Diceros bicornis minor: one gene and its partner. The protein of the gene in region 1 interacts with the protein of each later gene in a pairwise test. Links are inferred from orthologs where the notes say so. Each region holds a gene or a part of one and is shown in the gene's direction. Other genes may lie near its edges. The genes, in order: CD63 and TIMP1.

The links.
Region 2: the proteins of CD63 (region 1) and TIMP1 interact in binary tests that used the Homo sapiens proteins (3 or more experiments, as listed by UniProt). The link is inferred for Diceros bicornis minor from reciprocal best matches to the Homo sapiens genes CD63 and TIMP1.

The regions. Positions count from the first base shown.
Region 1 is NC_080756.1:12,933,130-12,944,532, forward strand, and holds CD63 (CD63 antigen), read left to right. Parts: upstream 1-6,303; 5' UTR 6,304-6,380; intron 6,381-6,953; 5' UTR 6,954-6,964; coding exon 6,965-7,030; intron 7,031-7,926; coding exon 7,927-8,115; intron 8,116-8,312; coding exon 8,313-8,387; intron 8,388-8,489; coding exon 8,490-8,585; intron 8,586-8,697; coding exon 8,698-8,838; intron 8,839-9,044; coding exon 9,045-9,128; intron 9,129-9,313; coding exon 9,314-9,379; 3' UTR 9,380-9,465; downstream 9,466-11,403. Other genes in the region: RDH5 (retinol dehydrogenase 5), read right to left, coding at 10,428-10,651, 10,921-11,084. UniProt on the Homo sapiens protein: Functions as a cell surface receptor for TIMP1 and plays a role in the activation of cellular signaling cascades. Plays a role in the activation of ITGB1 and integrin signaling, leading to the activation of AKT, FAK/PTK2 and MAP kinases.
Region 2 is NC_080781.1:41,338,665-41,349,741, forward strand, and holds TIMP1 (metalloproteinase inhibitor 1), read left to right. Parts: upstream 1-6,757; 5' UTR 6,758-6,911; intron 6,912-7,807; 5' UTR 7,808-7,815; coding exon 7,816-7,936; intron 7,937-8,696; coding exon 8,697-8,776; intron 8,777-9,172; coding exon 9,173-9,299; intron 9,300-9,544; coding exon 9,545-9,669; intron 9,670-10,478; coding exon 10,479-10,649; 3' UTR 10,650-10,752; downstream 10,753-11,077. Other genes in the region: SYN1 (synapsin-1), read right to left, coding at 1,357-1,459, 1,557-1,631, 1,730-1,872, 2,653-2,715. UniProt on the Homo sapiens protein: Metalloproteinase inhibitor that functions by forming one to one complexes with target metalloproteinases, such as collagenases, and irreversibly inactivates them by binding to their catalytic zinc cofactor.

The DNA.
Region 1 (11,403 bases):
GGGTGAATGTCCCCAAGGCCTTCAATGCTCTGCTGCACCCCCAGCCTGTGCCAGGTGGCCCCCAGCATCCAGGGCTTCTCTTTGCCGTAGCCCTCACCACACTGTATCACAGATTGTGATCACCTTGAAGGCAGAGTCATGTCTTACTCATCTCCATATAGTCCCAGTGCCTGGCATGTTTAGGCTTTCAATACAAAGAAGGATGAACGAATGAATGAATTCTTCCTCAGCCCCTGCCTAGGCCTCTGGGCCTCTCAGCCCCAAGGAACAGACACCTGAGCTCACCACCCCACTGCAGCATTGCCTCTGTCTCATTTCTCGCATGTTCATGTCTGCTCCATCCCGGGAGAAACCGTAGGTGTGTGGGTCTGTGACTCTCAGGTGGAGGCTGCTGCACTCCTGAGCTGGTTCTGGACCAGAACCACACAGCAGCCGGGCTCCTGGCCCAGGCAATGCCCGAGGAGTGGGCTGCCCGCCCTACCCACTCACCAGCTGGACATCTAGATTGACCCTGTTGGTAATAGTGACACCGGCTGGGAGGAGGCTGGGACAAGACCAGGCAAGGGTAGGAAGAACAAGGGGCCAGAAGTCAGGGGCTGGAGGCCCAAGGAGTAGGGAAAGAAATGGGTAAGAACAGAGGAAGAGCCCTGAGGACGGAGCTTGGCAGTGGGGAGTGGGGCAGGGTGGGGTTGGAACAGAGCTGGGCGGTGGGGCTTGAACTGGAGCTCTGGGCCAAGGCCAAAGTGGGTAGGAGGGGCCAAGGGAAGCTGGGTTGTCCCTCCCAACCCTTTCCTTGGCCACCCCAAGTGAGGTGGAGTCCAGATATTTCTCAAAGCAAAATCATTTTAATTCCTGTAAGTCTACAAACAGGGTACGATAAAGCCCTTATCATCTATTTTGTGTGTGTGTGTAAGGAAGATTAGCCCTGAGGTAATATCCGATGCCAATCCCCCTGTTTTTGCCGAGGAAGACCGGCCCTGGGCTAACATCCATCCCCATCTTCCTCTACTTTATATGGGGTGCCGCCACAGCATGGCTTGACAAGTGGTGCGTACCCGGGATCCGAACCTGCGAACCTCGGGCCGCTGAAGTGAAGCGCGCACACTTAACTGCTACACCACTGGCAGGCCACAAGCCTTTATCATCTTAAGGTAACAAAACAGATCCCCTTCATTTCTTCTGTGGGCCTCACAGGCGCCCTGTGGGGCCAGAAAGGGAATAGTTTTCTTCCTGCCTAGCTGGGTGGAAGTCGAGCCTCAGGAAGGTGAGAGTTTAGCCAAAGTCACCCCACCTATGTGTGCTCTCGCACAAGGGCTTCTGACCTCAGGGCACTTGTTGCAGGTGGCAGGCGTGGTGCACCCAGCCCTGGAGTGGGTGTGTCAAGACCCTAGGTCTCACCTGTAGGCTGCCCCTGAGTGGGTGGCTTCGTCTCTCTGAGTTTCCCTTTCCTCGCAGTGAGGATGTAAGGTGACTTTCGCAATGATGATGTTCTCCTGGGCACCACAGTGCGGTGACCTAGCCTTGCCCAGACAGGTTGGGGAGTCAGAGCTGGCCACCACAGTGACTGGAGACCTTTCTCTACGCCCCAGACCCCGCCAGTGCATCTCTAACCCCCTTGATATATCCCTGCAATCTGGGCGCGGTCATCAAGCACCCATGCCTCCCTCATATCCAGAGCTGGGGCCTCTGGATTTAAATCTCAGGCCCCCAGTTCAGATCCAATCCCTTGACCTTAAATTCCAGCCACCACCCTTCCTACCCTCTCCAGCGAAGAGATGGCCTTGATGCTGATGGCTCTTCATTTCCTTTCTCTCTCCCATCCGGGTCTCCTCCTCTTCCTTCTCCCCACCCCTCTCCCTCATGTCTGTTTTCCCTTCTCATCTCCCCGAGCCTCTCCGTCTTTCACCCTCTTCTGTTCCCTCCTGTCTCTCCTCTCCTCTCTCCCAACTCTCCTCTTCCCTCCTCTCCTTCCCCATGTCTCCTCACTCCTTTCTCATGCTCCCCCACCCCCCCTGCAGGTGGCAGTTTCGAGTTCACAGAGGCCTCTCCTTCCAGGGCACCTGAGCCTCATCTCTGAGCCAGCCCCCTGCCGGTGGGGCATGGGCAGGGGGCCTGGTGGCCCTGCTGAGTTGGGGGACAAGGTGTCTGTTCAGCAGGCACTGGGCTCCCTGTCTCCATCTGGCCTTCAGGAGGCTTCGGGCTCTGGCTACAAGCTGCCGTGTGTTGCACTGGGTCTGGCCGATGCCTATGTGCTCTCAGATGGCACCACCTTCGCTTGGGATACTTGTGGCCCCCAAGCCCGGCTGCTGGCGCTGGGTGGAGGCGTGGTGGAGCTGGAGAGAGCCTGGCTCTGCTCTGTGGGGAAGGGCAAGGGTGCCTACCCCAGCTCACCTACCACCAACCAGTGCCAGGCACCCAAGGGACAGTGGCCTGAGCTAATCGGGTGGCTTGGTGGCATGTCTGGATGCCAGGCATTTGGAGCAGGTGCTGGAGGCTCTGAAGGATGTGATGTGAAGGGCCAGATCTGAGGCCAGCTGCCTCCCCTCTCAGAGGCCCTTCCTGGAGCCCAGCAGGCACACAGGGCTCTATGTCAGCTTTCCAGGCTAGGGGAGTGGGTGATTCTTTTTTTTGAAATTGTGTTAAAATATACATAACATTTACCATTTTCTTTTTTTTTTGTGGGGAAGATCAGCTCTGAGCTAACATCCATGCCAATCCTCCTCTTTTTGCTGAGGAAGACTGGCCCTGAGCTAACATCTATTGCCCATCCTCCTCGTTTTTTTTCCCTTTTTCTCCCCAAAGCCCCAGTAGATAGTTGTACGTCGTAGTTGCACACCCTTCTAGTTGCTGTATGTGGGCCGCCGCCTCAGCATGGCCGGAGAAGCAGTGCGTAGGTGCGCGCCCAGATCCGAACTCAGGCCGCCAGGAGTGGAGCACGTGCACTTAACCGCTAAGCCACAGGGCCGGCCCTGCATTTTAATCATTTTTAAGTGCAGTTCAGCGGCACTAAGCACATTCACATTGTTGTGCAACCACAACCATCACCCATCTCTAGAACTTTTTCATCTTCCCAAACTGAAACTGCACCCCCACTGAACTAACTCTCCCTTCCTCCCTCCCCCAGCCTCTGGCCCCCACCATTCTACTCTTGGCTCTACAAATTTGATTAGGAACGTGCCTTTCTTACCCCTCACTTCCAACTCCACACAGGCTTGTTCTCCGGGGTCTCCCTGGCCCTGTCCTTTCCTGTCTCCCCTGGCACCGTTCTTTCTCTCCCATGGCTTGACCAGGCTGCTGCCACCACTCTGCACCTGCTCCTTCTCCTGGTGTTCCTCTCAGACGGCCCCATTCTCCTGACCTTCACCTCAGCTCTGCCCCAGCCCACTTGGATGTCCCCCCTCCCGGGGCCCTGCAGGTGCTCTGGATCCTGCCCTGACACTGCTCTGGAGATGGCCACCCCATCCCATGGCGTTCTCTTGCTTTTCATCCAAATTGACCGTTCTATACTATTGGACGCTTCTGGCCACTGTCGTGAAGTTCTCTTTTCTCTTGGCCTCTGAGAGAGAGGGGAAAAAGCTTGGGCTTTGCAACCCCCAGAGATCTGGGTTCAAATCCTAACACTGCCCGTTCCCAGCTTGGGCTCTGGGCACATCTCTCCCTGTCTCCAAGCCTCAGTTTCCTTATCCCTAAAACAGGACAAGTCATACGGACCTCACAGGGTTGTGGTGAGGATTAAATGAGTAATGGGTATAAGTGCCCAGCACCGTGCCAACGGAGTGCAGGGGTCCAGCTCTGCAACTTCCTTTCCCTCTCACCTCTTCTGCTGGCTGCTCACTCCTCCCCATGTTCCTTAAACAGAAGGCTCTGTCCCCCTCTGTTTTCTTTGTTCTGGCCCTCACCATCTATAGGTTTAGACATCACTTTTTATCTCTGGTCGGACTGCTCTTCTCTCCTCAGTTTCACATCCCCAATTCCTGGGGGGACGTCTCCACCCAGGTGCCCCTTGGGGGACCACCACCTCTTCCCAGGGGGCCCAGGTTGGGAAGCTCTGAGTCGTCTCAGACTCTTGCACTTCCTCGCCCCCTCCCACAGGTAAGCGGTGCTGCAGTCCTTCCGTGTGCCCTCGGAAATGCCTCTGCGACTTCCCTACTCTCCGTGGTTCTGGCCTTCATCGGCTCTTCCTTGGACTGTGGCAGTGATATCCCAGCTATCCTCCAGGTCAGCTGACATTCATTCCTCCTCATTTCAGTATAGCCAATCCCAAGATGGTTCACCATCTCAGTAATGTCCACACTCCCATCACCTTAGAACATTCCCAACACAGCCTTCCAGGTTCTCAACAGTCCTATCACCTAGACTGTCTTCTTTTTGCTTCATATTGTTTTGTAAAGTATTCCAAAGCAATTACAGAAATGACATTTCACCCTTAAATATTTTAGTATGCATCTTTAAAAAATAGAGTACTTTTCCTATATAATCGAATACTATCATCATAGCTAACAAAATTACTTTCTCATGTTGAATTCTCAGCCCATATTCAAATTTCCCCAATTGTTCCCCAAATGTCTTTCACAGTTGGTTTGTTCAAAGATTCAGTCCAAGACCAAGCGTTACACTTGGTTGTTATGCATCTAAAGTTTCTCAATCTTGACTTCAGACCACCTTCCCTCCCGTCCATGTTTTACCACATCCTTCCTGAGCCCTTTGAGCCAGCCAACCCCAACCTACAGGGACTTGTTAAACTACTCCTTTTTTACACTTGGCCCTTTTCTTGTCCCTGGAACTGACAGCTTGCCCCTTTATTCTCTAAGGTCACCTTGGAAATCACCACCCACCTCTGTGAAATCCACTCTTTTTCTTTTTACTTCGGGCAGAGGCACCACCTGTCCCTCCCTCTGAGCTGGTCCAGCTGCCACCAGGGGTTCTGCCTCTGTTCACAGGGTAAGCTTGGTTCTGCCTGGCAGAGGGCAGGGCCTCTGTCTTCCTTGCCCTCCTGGCCCCATGCCTAGCACATGTCTGGCATCTAGGGGCAGCACGATAAAGAAACTGATGAATACTCCTTTTTCCAGCATCTTCACTCCTCCTCCACAGCCTGCCTGCTGTGATAACTGGGGAGCAAGGGCTTGGTGTGTCTTGCTGGAAGGTTGTAATCCCTTCCTGAGAACCCTGAAACTGGTTCTCAGTCCAGCCCAGATCTCCTTCCTTTTGCTCTTACAGTTTCTTTCCTTCTTCGTGTACACACACCAAGACTCCGAAAGTGGTTCTTGAGGCAGGACCATAAGAACCTAAGGGCTGGGGTCCAGGCTGGCAGGGTGGGGCTGGTTCTGTCCCTGGCATGTTTATTCAGCTCCTTCTGGGGACCACCATGGCACACACGGGAGAGAGGCAGCTTGAGCTGCCACACCCCCCTTCCAGCCCTCACCTGGCTTTGCGCTAGGGCATGAGACGGTCTGTCAGCTAGGATGGGATGGGGGAAATCCAGGGATATATGCCATGCCTGCCTTAGTGCCCTCCCCCACGGCTGCACCAAGAAGGACTGAGCCAGGAGAGGTGGGAGCACGGACCTTGTCAATCCTCCCCCATAGGGAAGGACTGGATTCTGATGTGTCATGATTGACTGGGTGGGATGGCCCTGAGAAGGGCTTCCTCCCCTCCTCAGCCCACTACTCAGGAGCTCTAGAAAATGGAGAAGGGACTAAATGAGAGGGGACAGGAACACCCACTCTAGAATGTTGAGGGACTCCCAGGATGTGAGGCCAGGGACTTTCTGGAAGTGTTTATTCTGGCCCCACCCGATCCGAGGGAGCCTAAGGCGCCCTCTGCGGACTGGGGGATGGGGGTGGGGGCTCGAACAGAGATGGAGCCAGAGGCAGGGAGTGGGCTCCGGGTGGGGGACGAGGAGGCCTCTGGCAGACCATCTTGTCACCTTGCCTCAGCTCTGCCTGGCCCGTGCGCTCAGAGGGTAGCTCTGGGCCGCTCGTCTCTCCTTTGGCTCCTTCACGCCTCTTCCGCTTCCCTGAACCGGAGAGAACAAGGCGGCACTCGGTCCGGCTCCTGCCCCGAGTGGGCTGCGGGCGCCAGCAGGGCCCCAGGCGCCCTGAGGTCCTGCCCCGGACACTCCCTGTGCGGGTTGGGGCGCTGTCTTCCCGATAGGGGCCACGTGGCCCTGGCCGGGCGGGGGGCTCCGCCCTCCCCTCGCCGGCCGGGTGACTCAGGCCGCAGCTGTTCCCGCGTCACATGAGGGAGGCTGCCGGCCACTGGGCGGGGGAGGCGGCCGGGGCCCGGGGCGGGGCCGCGGGCGGGGGGCGGGGCCGGAGCGGGGGGCGCCGCTAGAGAGCCCCGGATCGCGGCGGGAGAGGAGCGAGCCTCGGGGAGCCCAGGTGAGGCGCGGCCCCGGCCGGCGCGGCGCGGCGCGGGGCGGGGGCGGCCCGGCAGCTCCCTCCTGCGGGGCTCGCCCGGCCTCCGGAGACCCGCCTGCCCTCCGGCCGCTCCCGAGGCCCTCGCGACTTCGCAACTTTGAAAAGTTCCAGAGCCCGGGCGGGCGGGGCGGGGTGGGGTGGTGGCCGCACTTATTTGGGGGTGGTCAGAGCCCAGGGGACGGTGGCCGGGGGCCGGGCTGGGGCTGAGGACCGATTTTCGGGGCTGGTTGGTGGGGAGGGGGTGTTTGACGCCGGCGGGCCGAGGGTGGGCGTCAGGCCGGGCCCCGGGGGCGCCCTCCGATCGGTCCCGGGCCCCGAGGCGGCGGGGCGGGGTCCGGGCTTCGCGGCGGTCGCCCCCACCTCTCTCCGGCCAGGAAGAGGGGGCTGGGAGACGTGGATCCGACCGCGGGTTTCCGGGTGGGAGGGGCTGGGGATGGGGGCCGGGCAGGGAAGGCCTCGAGGGCCGGCGGGGAGCCCGGAGACCGACGTCCCCCCTCGGCCGGCTCTAATCCTCCTGTTCTCCCCTCGGCCCAGGTCCGGCAGCCATGGCGGTGGAAGGAGGAATGAAATGTGTCAAGTTCTTGCTCTACGTTCTTCTGCTGGCCTTTTGCGTGAGTGGGGAGGGGGCCGGTGCGGGCGCGCTGGCAGGGTGCGGGGAGACCTGGCTCCGGAGTGCTGAGGGCCGAGGGACCAGGAATGAAGGCAGCTGGAGACCAGATGTGGAAGGAAAGCCCAGGAACGGGCCGCAGACAGCACGGCCACCCCCCTCCTCCAGCTTTCAGGGACCTCCGAGGCTGGTTTGGTCCAGAATGGCCAGTCTGGGTGCGCAGCGCCCTCCCCCAAGCCCCTTCTGGCCCTTCCTGTCTGGTGACCCAACCTCTTGTGATAAGGGCAGTGGGGCAACCAGCCAACGCCAACGGCCTGATGCTATCGCCGCGGGGCTTCCCTGCGTTCCCCATCCTCTTCTCTCCAATCTCCCCTGTCCACCCCTCATTCCTCTCCATTCCCTCATCCCTCTTCACCCCTCCAGCTGCTCGGGGGTGGGGAAGCGCTCTGCCTACCTCACTTTGCTCCTGCCCTGGGCTCTTGGCTTGAGAGGCTGCTGTTTGTCCTGGGAGAGCACCCTACTCTTGCCCCCTTTTCCTCCTTTCTTCTCCTCGCTGGCGTCGCTGGCCTGAGGAACCCTAGTCTCAGCTGATGAGGATGGGGCGGGCCTCAGAGGATAGCGCGAGGGCAGTTCTGGGAGCCCTAGAGGGAGCACTGCTCTAGGTTAGGATCATATGCCCTGGGGTCAAGGCTTTCTGGAACTTCTCTTTTTGTATTTGATCAAACTATGGGGCAAGGATGGATCATCCCCCTTGCCCACAGTCAAAAGTTTCCTGGAAGTGTGACAATCTGTTCCCCAGGGATGGGGTTAAGTCTGTGTCCTGGGTGCACCCGCTGCCCTCCAGCATGGGGGGCTGATGGGTTGTGGGTCTGGCCTAACCCTGATGTGCCCTCTGCGCAGGCCTGTGCAGTGGGACTGATCGTTGTGGGTGTAATGGCTCAGATCATCTTGAATCAGGCCAATATCCAGGATGCCACCCCTGGCTGTCTGGTGCCTGTGGTCATCATCGCAGTGGGTGCCTTCCTCTTCCTGGTGGCCTTTGTGGGCTGCTGTGGGGCCTGCAAGGAGAACTACTGTCTTATGATCACAGTGAGTGGGTTATAACGGGGCTGGCGTGGCTGCCTGGGATTGCTGGAGGGCATTTCTATGGAGGGGGCTCACGAGGGTGGGTGAAGTGAGGTGGGTGGGTGAGGAAAACCTTTGTGAGTGTTCCAGAGACTGGTTGGGCCACAGCACGCCCCTCTCACCCAGACTCCAAACCTGATTCCCTCCCTTTGCGCCTGTAGTTTGCCATCTTCCTGTCTCTTATCACGCTGGTGGAGGTGGCTGCAGCCATTGCTGGCTATGTCTTTAGAGAGCAGGTAAGTGGGGACTGAGGGGAGGACCCTGCCCCACAGGCCTGGCTGCTCTGGGGCCCAGGTGCTCAGAGTTCTGACCTGAACAGTGCTCCTCCCTACTGCCAGGTGATGTCAGAATTTAATAAGAAGTTCAAGCAGCAGATGCAGAGTTATCCGCACGACAACCAAACGGCTTTAGTCCTGGACAAGTTGCAGGAGGAAGTGAGTGGGGTTGCTGGGAGCAGGGGTAGTGGGGGAAGAAGAGTCTCATCTCCATATTGAAGGTGGAGGTCCACTCAACAGCCTTCTTCCCCATCTCTCTCCTCTCCTTCAGTTTAAGTGCTGCGGGGCGGCTAATTACACTGACTGGGAGATCATCCCTCTCAAGGTCAATGGCTCAGTCCCTGACTCCTGCTGTGTCAATGTCACTCAGGGCTGCGGGACTAAGCCCACCGAGAAGAGTATCCATACCGAGGTAGGGAGGAGGCTGAGACAGCAGGGGATTTGGGGAACCTGGTGAGAGGGACCAGGGGTGGAGTTGGAGAGGGCTGGGGCTCTGGAAGTTGTGGTCAGGGTTGGGGAGGGGATCTAGGCGTGCTGGGGGTGGAGTGAAAGGTACAGAGGGAGGTGGGTGGGAAGTTTCTGATGGTATTCTTGCCTTATGTGCCTGTCACCCTTCAGGGCTGTGTGGAGAAGATTGGAGGCTGGCTGAGGAAAAATGTGCTGGTGGTGGCTGCCGCAGCCCTGGGTATTGCCTTTGTGGAGGTGAGAGGCGCCCTTGGGACTCAGTCCAGGGCATCTGGGTGGGAGGGGCAGCGGGGAGGAGGGTGCTGAGCAGGAGGTACTGGCCTGGGGAGGGGAGCCCTGGTTGTGTTTGGGGTCTCTTGGGCGGGTCCTGGGTTCCTCACCCTTCTGACCGCTCTCCACGCCCCCTCTATCTTTCCCTCTAGGTCCTGGGAATCGTCTTTGCCTGCTGCCTCGTGAAGAGTATCCGAAGTGGCTATGAGGTGATGTAGGGGGTCTGGTCTCTTCAGCCCCCTCATCTAGGGGAATGGAGTCCTATACTCCAGGTTTTTCAATTAAACGGATTATTTTTCCAGACCGAGAAGAGAGGGAGTCTCAGTTTGTCTTCAGGAGTGATACTTCATCCCTTTTCTCTCCTCATCCATGTTCCCGTCCTCTGGGACCTTGTTCTGTTTGCGCCCCTGGGAAAGGGGGCCTATTTTGGGGGGTGTTGGGAAAGGAGGATTTTGCTGAAGGCGTTTGTTGGGCTGGCAGTGGAAGCGGGGATCTGGAGGCTGTGGCCCCCTGCCCTCCCTGTCTCTTAGTCGTGTGCTGCCAGGCTCAGTGCTGAAGCGTTCCTGAAGCCATCTCCTGCAGAAGTCAAAGGGACTCCCCACAAAGGTCCTCCACGGGAAGAGACCTGCCCACGTCTATCGTGGACATCTTCTCCTTGGTCCTCTGCTCACTTCACAGGGCCCAGCAACTCCCTCCTGCACCCAGCAGGCCTGGCTCCTTTCAGGGTGGTGACCTGTGTGGCCAGTGTCCATCTGTCTTGACTTTGATTAGATGATAGAATTTAGTGGGTATTGTGTTTCTTCCATGGAAACCACCCAGCCTGGCCCCTACCCCTTTTCACCACCTTCCCTCCTGCCTTCAAGAAAAACAGATAATGACCATTTCCACTCCAAACACTGAATTGTGACCTTATTCCACATAGAAAATAAAGGAGACGTCCAACAGTGCCCTCTGGTAGCCATTCCTCCAGGTGCAGCTTCAAAGATGTGATAGTCCCCTTGCGCCCCCTAGTGGGTGCTAGGTGTTTTGCAGGCACTAAACAGGCCAGAGACCCTGGGCAGTAAGTCAGCCGAAGGTAGTTAGCACTTAAATGGGGTCAGTTTCCCACTGGGCACTTCCATTTCTGCCCACCTACGGTGTTTTTTTAATACTCAATAACATTTATTGAGTGCCTATTTTGTGCCAGGCACCCGGCAGTACCAGGGTGGGGACAGAAATAAATCAGTCTTTGTCCTGGAAGAAAAACGTCTTGCTGGAGGGCTGGACTCAGTAGACGGCATGGGCAGGCTTGGGAAGGACCCAGGTGAGCACAGCATCCACCAGGCTGGCTGGGAGGTAGGAGGCTGGCAGCCAGAGCAGCTTGGCGTCCCAGCCTGGGCTGTAGCGGGTCCTGGGGTGACGAGCAGTCAGGGCATGCTCCAGGCACTTGCTCACCTTGGTCAGGTCCGGGTCACAGATCAGGTTCATGATGCGCTGCTGTACTTTCAGGTCTGCAGCCCAAAGGGTGTTATAATCAGTGTCCCTCTCCCACTCCAGCCCATGTCAGGCCCTGTCTTCTGGGTCCTGGGGCTGGTGGCCCAGCAGAGGTGAGAAGGATCCTTAGTCCCCTCCCCAGGTTGGGAGTAGGCAGGTCGCACACGGCCTGCTGTCCTGTGGCATCCCGTCACCCTCACCCCTCCTACCTCCTCCCAGCGGCTGGTGCAAGACAGGCCTTTCTGGCTCTCATTTCCCTTCATTCGTCCCTACGTGGGCTACTCACACTTGGTAAGGAAGGCCTCCCCATAGTGGGCCCTTGTGGCTGGAGGGAGCCGTGCCCAGCAGGCCTGCAGGGCGTCCTCCAGACTCTCCAGGTTTGTCACAGGGGTTTGGAAGAAGCCAGGCTCCACGATGGAGACTCGGATGCCAAAAGAAGCCACGTCCCGCCTGCAGTGGGGGCAGAGGGAGGCTTCTGGGTTCTTGCCCTTCTAGAGAGGAGATCTTTAGGGACCTGGGTGGGGGTGCTGAGATGGGGAAGTTATCACAGACCAGGGACAGGGATCCTGACAGGGAGATCCTTGCTGCCCTGGGGTGAGGGGGGTGTGGGGCACAGGGAGGGAGGTATTCTTAAAAGTTTGTTTTCCTTTATATCCTATGATCTAGAGCAGGGATGGCAAACTTCTTAAAGGGCCATTGCAGACCTAAAAATTAATGATGTTATGTAGGTACTTAAAATGTAAAAAGCAGTATTAGCCGTAGGCGGCTG
Region 2 (11,077 bases), on another chromosome or scaffold:
GGCAAATTAGGGCCAAATCCGGCCCAGCACCTGGTTTTGTATGGCCCCCGAGCTAAGGCTGGGTTTTACATTTTTTGATGATTGAAAAAAATCAAAAGATGATTTCATAACACGTGAAAATTATCTGAAATTTAATTTTCAGTGTCCATAAACAAAGTTTTATCGGAACACAGCCTCACAATTTGTTTACATATTGTCTGTGGCTGCTTTTGCAAAGTTGAGTGGTTGCAACAGAGCCTCTAAGGCCCACAAAGCCTAAAATATGCACTGTCTGGCCCTTGACAGAACACATTGGCCGAACCCTGCTTTATAGTTTGCTGGTGCTTTGTCCTTTACAAAGAACATTGTGGTTTACATGGTACTTTACAGTTTACAAAGCTCCTTGCCCTTTACAAAGGACTATGGGATATATGGTGTGTTTAGACTTTAGAAATTGCTTTGTAAAGGGCACCACTGTTTACAAAATGCTTTACCATATAGAAAGCGCTCCTCTTTACCAAGCACTCTGAATTTTCAAGGCATTTTACAGTTTACAAACTGCTTTACTGTTTACCAGGGACACCGCTGTTTACAAAGAGCTTTAGAATTTTCAAAGCACTTTGCTTCAATAACAAGGACTTCCCAGTTTACAGAGCTCCTTTTTTATATTTTATAAAGCACTTTGCTGTTCACTAAACACTTCCTAATTTATAAGGTACTTTACAGTTTACAGAGTGTTTTAGGATCAACCACCACTCTTTTCTTTTCTTTCTTTTTTTTTTTTGGTGAGGAGATCAGCCCTGTGCTAACATCTGCCAATCCTCCTCTTTTTTGCTGAGGAAGACTGGCCCTGGGCTAACATCCGTGCCCATCTTCCTCCACTTCCTTCCACCACAGCATGGCTTGCCAAGCAGTGCGTCGGTGCGCGCCCGGGATCTGAACCGGTGAACCCCGGGCCACCGCAGCAGAGTGCACGCACTTAACCGCTTGTGCCACTGGGCCGGCCCCAACCACCACTCTTTATAAAGTACTTTACAGTTTACAAAGTGCTTTGCTGTTTGCCATAGACTTGTCAGTTCACAGAACACTTTAAAGGGTACTAAGTGCTTTGCATTCTCAGTTCACAGAGCACTCTATAGTTTAACAAGTCTTTTGCTATTAACTAAGGATGTCCAAGTTCACAGAGCAGTTTAGAGTTTACTAAGTATTTTGCCATTTGCCAGGGATGTCCCAGTTCACAAGGCACTTTACAGTTTACTAAACATTTTGCCATTCACTGTGGACCTTCTGGGCCATGGAGTGCTTCACAGTTTACAGTGTTGCTGCCCTGCACCTGCGCCTCCCTCTGTGCCCCCACCAATCCCTGGGTGTTCCCACCTCAATGATGTGATCCCTTCCGTCCTTGCCATGCAGCGCTTCCACTGCGCAGATGTCCAGTCCCCCAAAAATCTCTGAGCACGTATCCACCCACAGCTTGTACCTGCCAAGACGTGGGGCAAGGAAGCCTGTCAGCACCTTGCCTGGGCAGCCACACTCCCACCCTCATGTCCCTTCCCGCCTGAGCTCTGGCCACCCACCTGTCAGACATGGCAATCTGCTCTAGCATCGCAGAGCCAGTGTTGGTCTTCCAGTTGCCTGACACTGACGTCCTCCTGGGGGACAAGAGGAGAGAGGAGAGAGGCTCAGGGGGGCCTGGGCTGCACAGGGCAGGGCAGGGGACCCCTACCCGGGCCTTGGCCACTCTGCTCACATGTAGGCCTTGTAGTTCTGCCCAATCTTCTGGACACGCACGTCATATTTGGCATCAATGAAGGGCTCGGCAGTGGCGTACGTCTTGGTCAGTGCTACGACACTTGCGATGTCCTGGAAGTCATGCTGGTTGTCCACCTTGACCTGTGGGAGTGGGGTGGCGATTAGGGCCTGGTCACGACTGGGCAGCAGTGGGCAGTGGGGGTGCCTCGGGGCAGGGGCGTGCACACAAATGACACAGGTGAGCTGCATACACAGAAATTTCAGCGGGCACACCAAGGCATTCAAGCACGCATAATCCTGGGTCTCCTGGTTTTTACATGTACACACAGACACAAAGTTGGGTGTATACAACTCTGTAAACAATGATTGAATTGTCTACTTTGAATGGGGTAAGTTGTATGGTATGTGAATTATGTCTCAATAAAGCTGTGGAAAAATTGTGTATATATACAGTTATGTGCACATGGGCACCCAGACACAAAATCAGTTGTACACACAATATACAAACATACAGAAGCACAGACACACTCAAACACACAAATTACAAGTCTGCTTTCTATGTACACAGAGACAATATCAGATGGGTAGAAAGCATACAGGATCCCAAGACCCTTGAACATAAAAGATTACATTGTGTGTGTTCCACACAGAGGCATGCGTGTACACAGACACAATTCTGGACACACTAACAAAATAACGACACGTAAAACTGGCAGAATGCATAATAGTAAATTGGGCCAACAAAATCTAAGAATGTGAGGAAAAACATACAAATAGATAAAGACACCCCAGGACACACAATCATACGGAATCACTCATGTGCACTGAATACACAATATACACCTACATACAAACTCACAATGCCAGGAGCATGCACCATTTACAAACACCCACATGTACGCACCCCAATTGGGGACTCACCTTGCCCATCCCAGAGTGTGCATGTCCCATCTTCACAACCACAGGGTACGTTGTGCTGCTGAGCTGGTGGGGTGGGAAGGCAGAGCATGGTCAGGGCAGGAGGGCTGACCACCAGGGGTGGGGGTGGTGCTGAGGGGAGCCGATCCAGTGGGAGCCACGTTAGGAGCCATTTCCCAGAAGAGGCGAGTCAGAGACAGGCAGACAGCAGCTGGGGGGTCACACAGTGCCTCCAAGCCCAGAATCGAACCCAGAACCCTGGCCGCCTGTTCCTCCCTCCACCACCTCCAGTGGCAGACTTCCCGCCTCTGCTTTCCTGGGCAGACACATGGGATAAGGGTGGGGGACTTTTCCGGAAAAGGGAAAGTCTATTTTTACAGTGAATGGATGATAGAGAAGTGAGTGTGTGCATGTGCGTGCGTGGGGGTGTGGTGGTGAACATGTAGCAACTGGACCCCTCAGTCAGGCCTTGTAGGTAAGCCTCATCCACGCTCATACACAACCTAGAGACATACACACAAACCCTCAGGGCTCAGATCTACACAAACCAACCCAGAGATGCCCATGCACTTTGAGACCCACAAGATGGAAAGACCCATAACCAACACAGGCTCCAGAGCACACCTCGCTTTCCGGCTGCACAGAGACCCACACAGTCATTCAGCCAGCCAGGTGGTTAGTGTGGGGCTGGGGCCGGCACTCCTGGCCAGCCTCCTTGCCCAACAGCACACACCCAACATTTGTAGACACACAGTCAACACTTTTGGGCGCAGACACACAGCCACCCTCCTCTCGCCCAAAGCCACATAACAGAGGGACACACACAACGTGAATGATTACCCATGCAATATAGACACAAACAACCCGCAGAGGCACAGTCACAGAATGCAGAGGCACACACAACTCTAACAGGCACACACAACATATTCAACACTCACAGACATACAACCACTCCTAGGCATGTGCACAACAAACAGAAGGACCTACACCACATACACAGGTACACACACTCCTAGGGATTCATGTAACCACTGCGACCTATAACATAGAGACCCACACCACACACCTGGGCACACAAAAGTATATCTAGGGACACAGAGAATATGCCATATGTACAAACGGAGAGGCATACATACAATCAGAGACACCCACAACCCTCCTAAGTATACAGACAACACTCCTGGGTGTATGCGTGCACAGACACGGACTCACACTCGCACACTCTGGAGTGGGGATGCCTCAAGTCTCCCCAGACCCCGACCCGGGGCGGGCTAGAGGGGCCGGTTCGGCCAACCCCTGCCCCACCATGCGCGGATGCACGAGCAGGGCCACGCCCCCTCCCTCGGCCGAGCGGACGGCTGCCCCACCAGGAGAGACGGGGTTCGGCCTTCCCGCCTTCCCGGAGGGGATGCTGGGGCCGGGGGCGGTTCCCGGTTCCCGACAGGCACAGGAAGCCCACAGGCTGAGGGTGACCGATTGACCTTCAGGCCTCACCCCCACCTTCCTCATTTCCCAAATGCCTGGCGTCATTCCGGGGCGCTGAGAGGCACCGTGTTGGGCTGGGGGTTACGGGATCCTCTAGTTAGCATAACAGGGAAACAATCCAGAGGCGGCACAGGAGCTAACACTCAGGCACACACACAGCTCCCAGAGGTGAACACCACATCCACAATTCCGTGTGCAACCTAGACGGGCTTTACAGAGGTGGACACACGACTCCCAGAAGCAACACAAAACACACGGGGCTGTACAAAACAGGTACACACGTACACCACACGGGGAGCACACACCACCTAAAGCCACACACGCCACTCTCAGAGGCAGAGACACAGCAGAGAGCTGCACGCAAGCGCACACGCACACACCCCGAGGTTTCTAGGCCCCTCTTTTCATAAACCCACCTTGTTTCCTCTGGACCTGAGCCTGAACACAACGCTATGTATGTGTGTGTGTGTGTCTGCACATGTGTGCATGCAGGGACCTTTGCACTCTGGGATCCCCTGGGGAGCCCTAGGTTTGAATCTTGGCTTCTCCTCGTCCTACGGCCATGTGGGACCCCAGGCAGGTCACTTAACCCCTCTCTGTGCCTCAGTCTCCTGATCTGTACAAAGGGCACAATCAGGCCCAAGCACTTCGTGTGTTGTGGGGATTGTCGTGTGTCCCATCTGCACACCCAGCTGGGCCCACAGCCCCCACACCCATCCAGCTCCCCAGATGGTCACACGGCCCGACACCCCTCCATGAAACCCCACCAGTTTCAAAACCTGCACAATAACCCAGATTCACACAACCTCGCACATATAGACAGTCGGCAAAACTCCGTGCTGACTCAGGTTTCAGAGCACAGAGGTGGCGTCAGAAGCAGGGTCAGCGAGGGGCTGCAGCAGGACTTTCCCTTCTCCCACGTCTCCCTTCGGGGCATCCCCCCGCACTGAGTCAGCCCCGCTCTCGTGCACTCTCACTCCCCCACTTTCACAATCAGCTTCTCCCAAGTCCTGGTGCACTTCCCTTCTCCCCTTTCTTGTCCTCCCAACAGAGCCATTTCTTCACTCTCATTCCCTCGACCCCTTTGTGTGTGCCTCAGTTTCCGCCTCTGTATAATGAGAATATGGACAGTCTCTAACTCACAGGGATGTTGTGAGGGATAGATTAGTTACTTCGGGGAGAAAAACGCTTAGCACGGTATCTGGCACACAGGAAGCCTCCATCCTCAGAAAGTGCTGGGTACTATTATTATTATTGGTTTCACATCCCTTGGTTCGCCAACATTAATTAGCAAGGAGATAATCAGGATTGACTCAGAGAGAACGCAGTCAAAAAGATTTTAGAACAGTGCCTGATACCCAGGAAGCACACTATAAATGCTGCTGGTAGTTTTTGTTGTGGGGTATTGCTGTTGTTGTTGAATGGGCTGACCTCCCTGAGTTAATCAAGCTTAATTAGCAAGGGGGTAATGGAGATTGAATGAGAGAATTTACCCAAAGACTTTAGGGCACAGTATACAGTAAGTGCTCAATAAGTGGCTGCCATCATCACTCCCATCATATTATTATTGGTCTGTCCTCCCTGAACTAAGGAAGGATGTTAATCAGCCCTCCGAGCCCTTTCCCAGGACCCCAAGGAAGATTTAGGCAGCATCTGGAAGCTGGAGGGCAGGGATTGCCTCACCCCACCCCCCACCAGGGGTGTGGGAGGGTTGGTGGGGAAGGGGCAGGGCAGGATGGGAGGGGATCAGTTTTCTACTGACTCACTGGCCTCTTTCACCACCATTCAACTCCCCCCACCCCAAAGCTCATGGATTCACCAGTACCTTCTCTGCTTGCCAGGACTGTGCCACGCCTGGGTTAAGATCCTGGCACCAGTTAGCCTAGGTTCAAATCCCAGCCATACCCTGTGATCCTGGGAAAGTTCTTCAATCTCTCTACACTTCATATTTCCTCATCTGTAAAATGGGAATAATACTGGTGCCCATCTCAGAGGCTTACTGTGAGCTTTAAGTGAGATAAACTATGCGGAGTGCCTAGAACAGAGTTGGTGCCATATAAATGCTGGCTATTTGCCTGTGATTTTTGAGAGCGGTTAAGACCCAGGCTCTGGCTCCAGGCCACCTGATTTCAAATCCCAGTTCTGCCACTTATTAACTGTGGTCTTGGATAAGTCACCTAGTCTCTCCGGGCCTCAGTGCTCCATTCACCTGCCTTATCTCCCTCCACTGCTTCTACTGATTTGTTTCTTCTCTGTCTCCCCCACCCTTCACCAGAATGTCGGAGCTACCAGGAGAGGGATTTTCGTGGTTTTTTGTGTGTGCTTGGCACACAGTAGGTGCAGAAGAAGTGTTTATTGAAGGAATGAACTAATTTGGGCTTCAGCCATGGGGAGTTGGGGGGATGTGGGTGATTGGATAGACTTCGAAGCGAGTTTGGAGACTTTAGGGAACTGCACTGGAGGGAATCCTGCCTGTAAGCCCTCCATTGAGGCCTCCTGGAAGGACTGTTGCCAGACGCCGTGATGAGGGAGGAGGATGGCCAGGGCGAGGCCCAGGGGGAGGGAGTGGAGGAGGGTGCATCTCTTTTTCAGCAGCCCTCGGCCCGCCCCTTGGCCTCCACTGATGGTGGGCGGATGAGTAATGCATCCAGGAAGCCTGGAGGCCTGTGGTTTCCGCACGGCTGCCACCCCCGCTCCTCGCGTGGACATTTATCCTCCGCTGCTAGGGCCCTGCCGCCATCGCCGCAGACCCAGCGCCTAGAGAGACTCCACCAGAGGTAGGCAGAGGCCCCGGTGGCCTGCAGGGTCTGGAGCTGGGCTGGAGCTTTCCTACCAGACAGCCAGCCTGGCTGCTCAGCCTGGCCGGCGGGTACCAGGACCCTGGGCTGGTCAAGGGGAAGAGGGTGGGGGGCTGGATCTGCTCCCCCAATCCTGACACTCCAAACTCCTTTGAACCCCTGACATCCACCCCAACTCCCCCAAACCCATGAGCCCCTAATATCACAGATGCCTCCTAAGCTGCCAACTCCTCTAATTTCCCTCATTGACCCCGAAATCCCCCCCAAACCCCTGAAGCTCCCTAAATTTCCCAAGCCCCCTAATCCCCCTGACTCCTAAATCCCAACTCCCTAAACCTCAAAACTTCCTCTGCTCCCATATCTCGCAGGCACCTCCACCCTCTTATGCCCCCAAACTCCCCCAACTCCCTAAGCCCCCAACCTCCTCCAAATTCCTCAGCCTCCCTCAACTCCTCCGCCTCCTCTCTCTCTCAATATGCACAGCCTGGAAACTTCCAAACTCCTTCAGCTCCCCAAACCCCAAATGCGTCACCCCCAACTCCTCAGCCTTCCGACTTCCCCAACCCCCTAAATCCTCAGACTCCCTCAGCCTCCTTATTCCCCAAACACCACAACCTCATAATCACCCCACTCTCCAGTACCCTACATCGCTCAAACCCCATAACTCCTAAACTCTCCCGACCCGCTAAACCCCTAAACTCCTCTGGGCTCTCAAATCCCCAACCCCCTTAAAATCTTCAAACTCCCCAACCCCTCAAGCCCTAGTATGGTCCCTAATCCCACCTTGGGGGGGGCAGGATGGGATAGGAGGCCTGCCCAGGTCCGTGGATCAACTGGGCTGGGAGACCCCTGACCCCTTCTCCCCACCCCTGCAGAACACACCATGGCCCCGTTTGCACCCTTGGCCTCCGGCATTCTGTTGTTGCTGTGGCTGACAGCCCCCAGCAGAGCCTGTACCTGTGCCCCACCCCACCCGCAGATGGCCTTCTGCAGCTCTGACCTTGGTGAGTGTACCCCACTCTGCCCACACACTCTGTGCTTTGTTTTCCCTCTCAGTCCAGTGGGGTTCACATGGTGCCTACCTCTAGAACAATTCCACTCCGCCCTGCACTGACTCTGCTTTAGCCACACTGGCATCCTCATGCTTCCTTGATCATTCCAGGCCCAGTCCGGCCTCAGGGCCTTTGTACTGGCTGCTCCTTCTGCCTGGTATACCCTTCCCCCCAGGTATCCACATGGGTGGCTGCCTCAAATGTCACCTTCTCAGAGTGGCCTTCCCTGACTACCCTAGTCAAAATTTTAACCACTGTTCCCTAGTACTCCTGATCCCCCTTACCCAGCTCTGAAATTCCTCATCACACTTAATACCTTCTAACATTCCATGCACTTTTTATTTTGCTTTTCTTGAGTCTGTCTCCTCTTGGCTAGAATGCGAATTGCACAAGGGAAGGGATTTCTGTGTTTTGTTCACCGTTGTGTCTTTAACACCCAGAATGGTGCCTGGCACACAGCAGGCGCTCCAAAATATTAGCTGAGTGAGTGAACACATGGTGAATATATGTCAAAGGCTTAGAGCAATGCCTGGCAAAAGCAGGCACTTAATATACACATGAGCTCTTTAACACATGTGTAAATCGCTTAGGGCACTGCCTGGCATCCAGCCACCCCTATTGAAGTATGTACTTTGCCAGTATTATTGTGATTATTTTATTTTATTGGCTCATGCAGTCCATTTGATTCACTTTTTTTCCTCCTCTCCTGCAGTCATCAGGGCCAAGTTCGTGGGGACCTCAGAAGTCAACCAGACCACCCCATACCGGCGTTATGAGATCAAGATGACCAAGGTAGCCCTCCTGACCCTTCCCCAGCAGTTCCTAACATCCCATCAAAAAAAAAAGCCTCTTGGGCCGGCCCCGTGTCTTAGCGGTTAAGTGCGCACGCTCCGCTGCTGATGGCCCGGGTTCGGATCCCAGGCGCGCACCGACACACCGCTTCTCCGGCCATGCTGAGGCCGCATCCCACATACAGCAACTAGAAGGATGTGCAGCTATGACATACAACTATCTACTGGGGCTTTGGGGAAAAAAATAAATAAATAAAATCTTAAAAAAAAAAAAGCCTCTGACCACCAGTTGGCGAGGAAGTTAGCTGTGATCTCGGGATGCTATATGACTTCAGGGAAGAACGTGGAGTGGGAGGATATGTCAGTAAAAAAGACTCTTTCCCTCATCCATCGACAGATGTTCAAAGGGTTCAGCGCCTTGGGGGATGCCCCTGACACCCAGTTCATCTACACCCCGGCTATGGAGAGCCTCTGCGGATACTTGCATAGTTCCGCGAACCGCAGCGAGGAGTTTCTCATCGCTGGTGAGGCCCCGCCCCCTCGCCCTGTGCCACGCCAACCCGCTCTTCAGACGCTGCCCGGCGACCGTGAGGGGGCGAGGCTCTGTGGGAATGGTCCCAGTTGAAATGGGGACCGCCCCAATTTAAGCCTATCAGAAGGCTGGGGGGTTGCCCAGCGGGGGGTCTGAGCTCCGGGGACGGCAGTCAGGCGCCGCCCTGCCCCGGCCCAGCCAATCAGAAGCCGCCTGTTGCCCCCTCCCCTCCCCCAGGACAACTATGGAAGGGGAACCTGCACATCACCACCTGCAGTTTCGTGGCTCCCTGGAACAGTCTGAGCTCCGCTCAGCGCCAGGGCTTCACCAAGACCTACGCCGCTGGCTGTGAGGAATGCACAGTGAGTGCCCGGGCCCTGCCCGCCCCTGGAGAGCCGTCCTTGGGCTCTTCCCCAAACCATGGCTTGTTTCTTGCTCCCTCCGGCTATTTCTTGTCCCTATGGCTGTTCCCCTGGAACAGTCATCTGTCATCTACCCAGTGTCTGATACCTGGGGATTCGCTGTTCCCTGGACTTTCTGGCTGCTTCCTGTCCCTCTAACTCCCCCTTGTGACTATTCTGTAGTCCCGCTGTCTATTCCTGACCCCCTGGGATTGTTTCTTGGTTCCCTAGAATGTTCTCCAAGAACCCAAAGTGCTGTTTCCCAAACCCACTGACTCTTCCCCAGCACATCTGATGTTGCTCTGCAGCTCTGACTGTTCCGCACACAAGGGCGTGTTACATTGCCCTTCTGACTATTCCAAGACTGTTCCCTGACTGACCAGAATGTCCTCTGACCCCAGTGCCTGTCTCTGAGCCCCACGGCTCCTTCCTATGCTTCAGTTCCCCACCTGCCAGCTGTTCCCTGCTACTGCCAGTTGTTCCCTATCCTATGGGACAGTTCCCGGGGAGACCTGCCTGACTGATGCTGCTGTGACTGTTCCCCAACCACTACTCCAAGAAACTGATCCTTTCACTGGCTTACTGTCACCTTGTCGAACCCAGTGACTGTTTCCCCAGTGGGAGGGGTCGTTCTTGAGTCTGTGCCCGGGTGGGGCAACACCAGGTCTCAGCAGCTCACTGTTGAAAGCTGAGGAGGGGAAAGTTCTGCTCCTTAGGGGAGGTAGGGGCAGGAGAAGCCCTCAGAGATGTGTCTCGCTCCCCTCCTCCAGGTGTTTCCCTGTTCATCCGTTCCCTGCAAACTTCAGAATGACACTCATTGCTTGTGGACGGACCAGCTCCTCACAGGCTCTGACAAGGGCTACCAGAGCCGCTACCTGGCCTGCCTGCCCCGGGAGCCAGGGTTGTGCACCTGGCAGTCCCTGCGGCCCCGGACGGCCTGAATCCTGCCCCCAACAGAAGCCGAAGCCTGCACAGTGTTCACCCTCTTTCCCACTCCTGTCTGTCTTTCTCCAAGACAGTGAAATAAAGAACTACCATCCAGCAGGCAGTGTCCCCGTGTAGTGTCTGGGAACTAACCCATGACCTGGGGGGAGCACCCTGGGACCAGTGCTGTGGGGAGTGAGGGGTGCAAAATGTTGGCTTTTTATATTTTACATGAAATGTGAAGATTTGGTAATAATCCTCTACATTGGCATTAGCATTGGTGATCTGCAACATCAGTAATGGTAATTTAACCTGCATTATCAACCACAACTTATTGGATAATCTCTCTACTCAATACTTTATAACATTTTACTAGACTAATTTATAATTTCCATTTGCACAGGGCTCTCTAGTTCATAAATTATCCCCCTGCTGACAAATCACT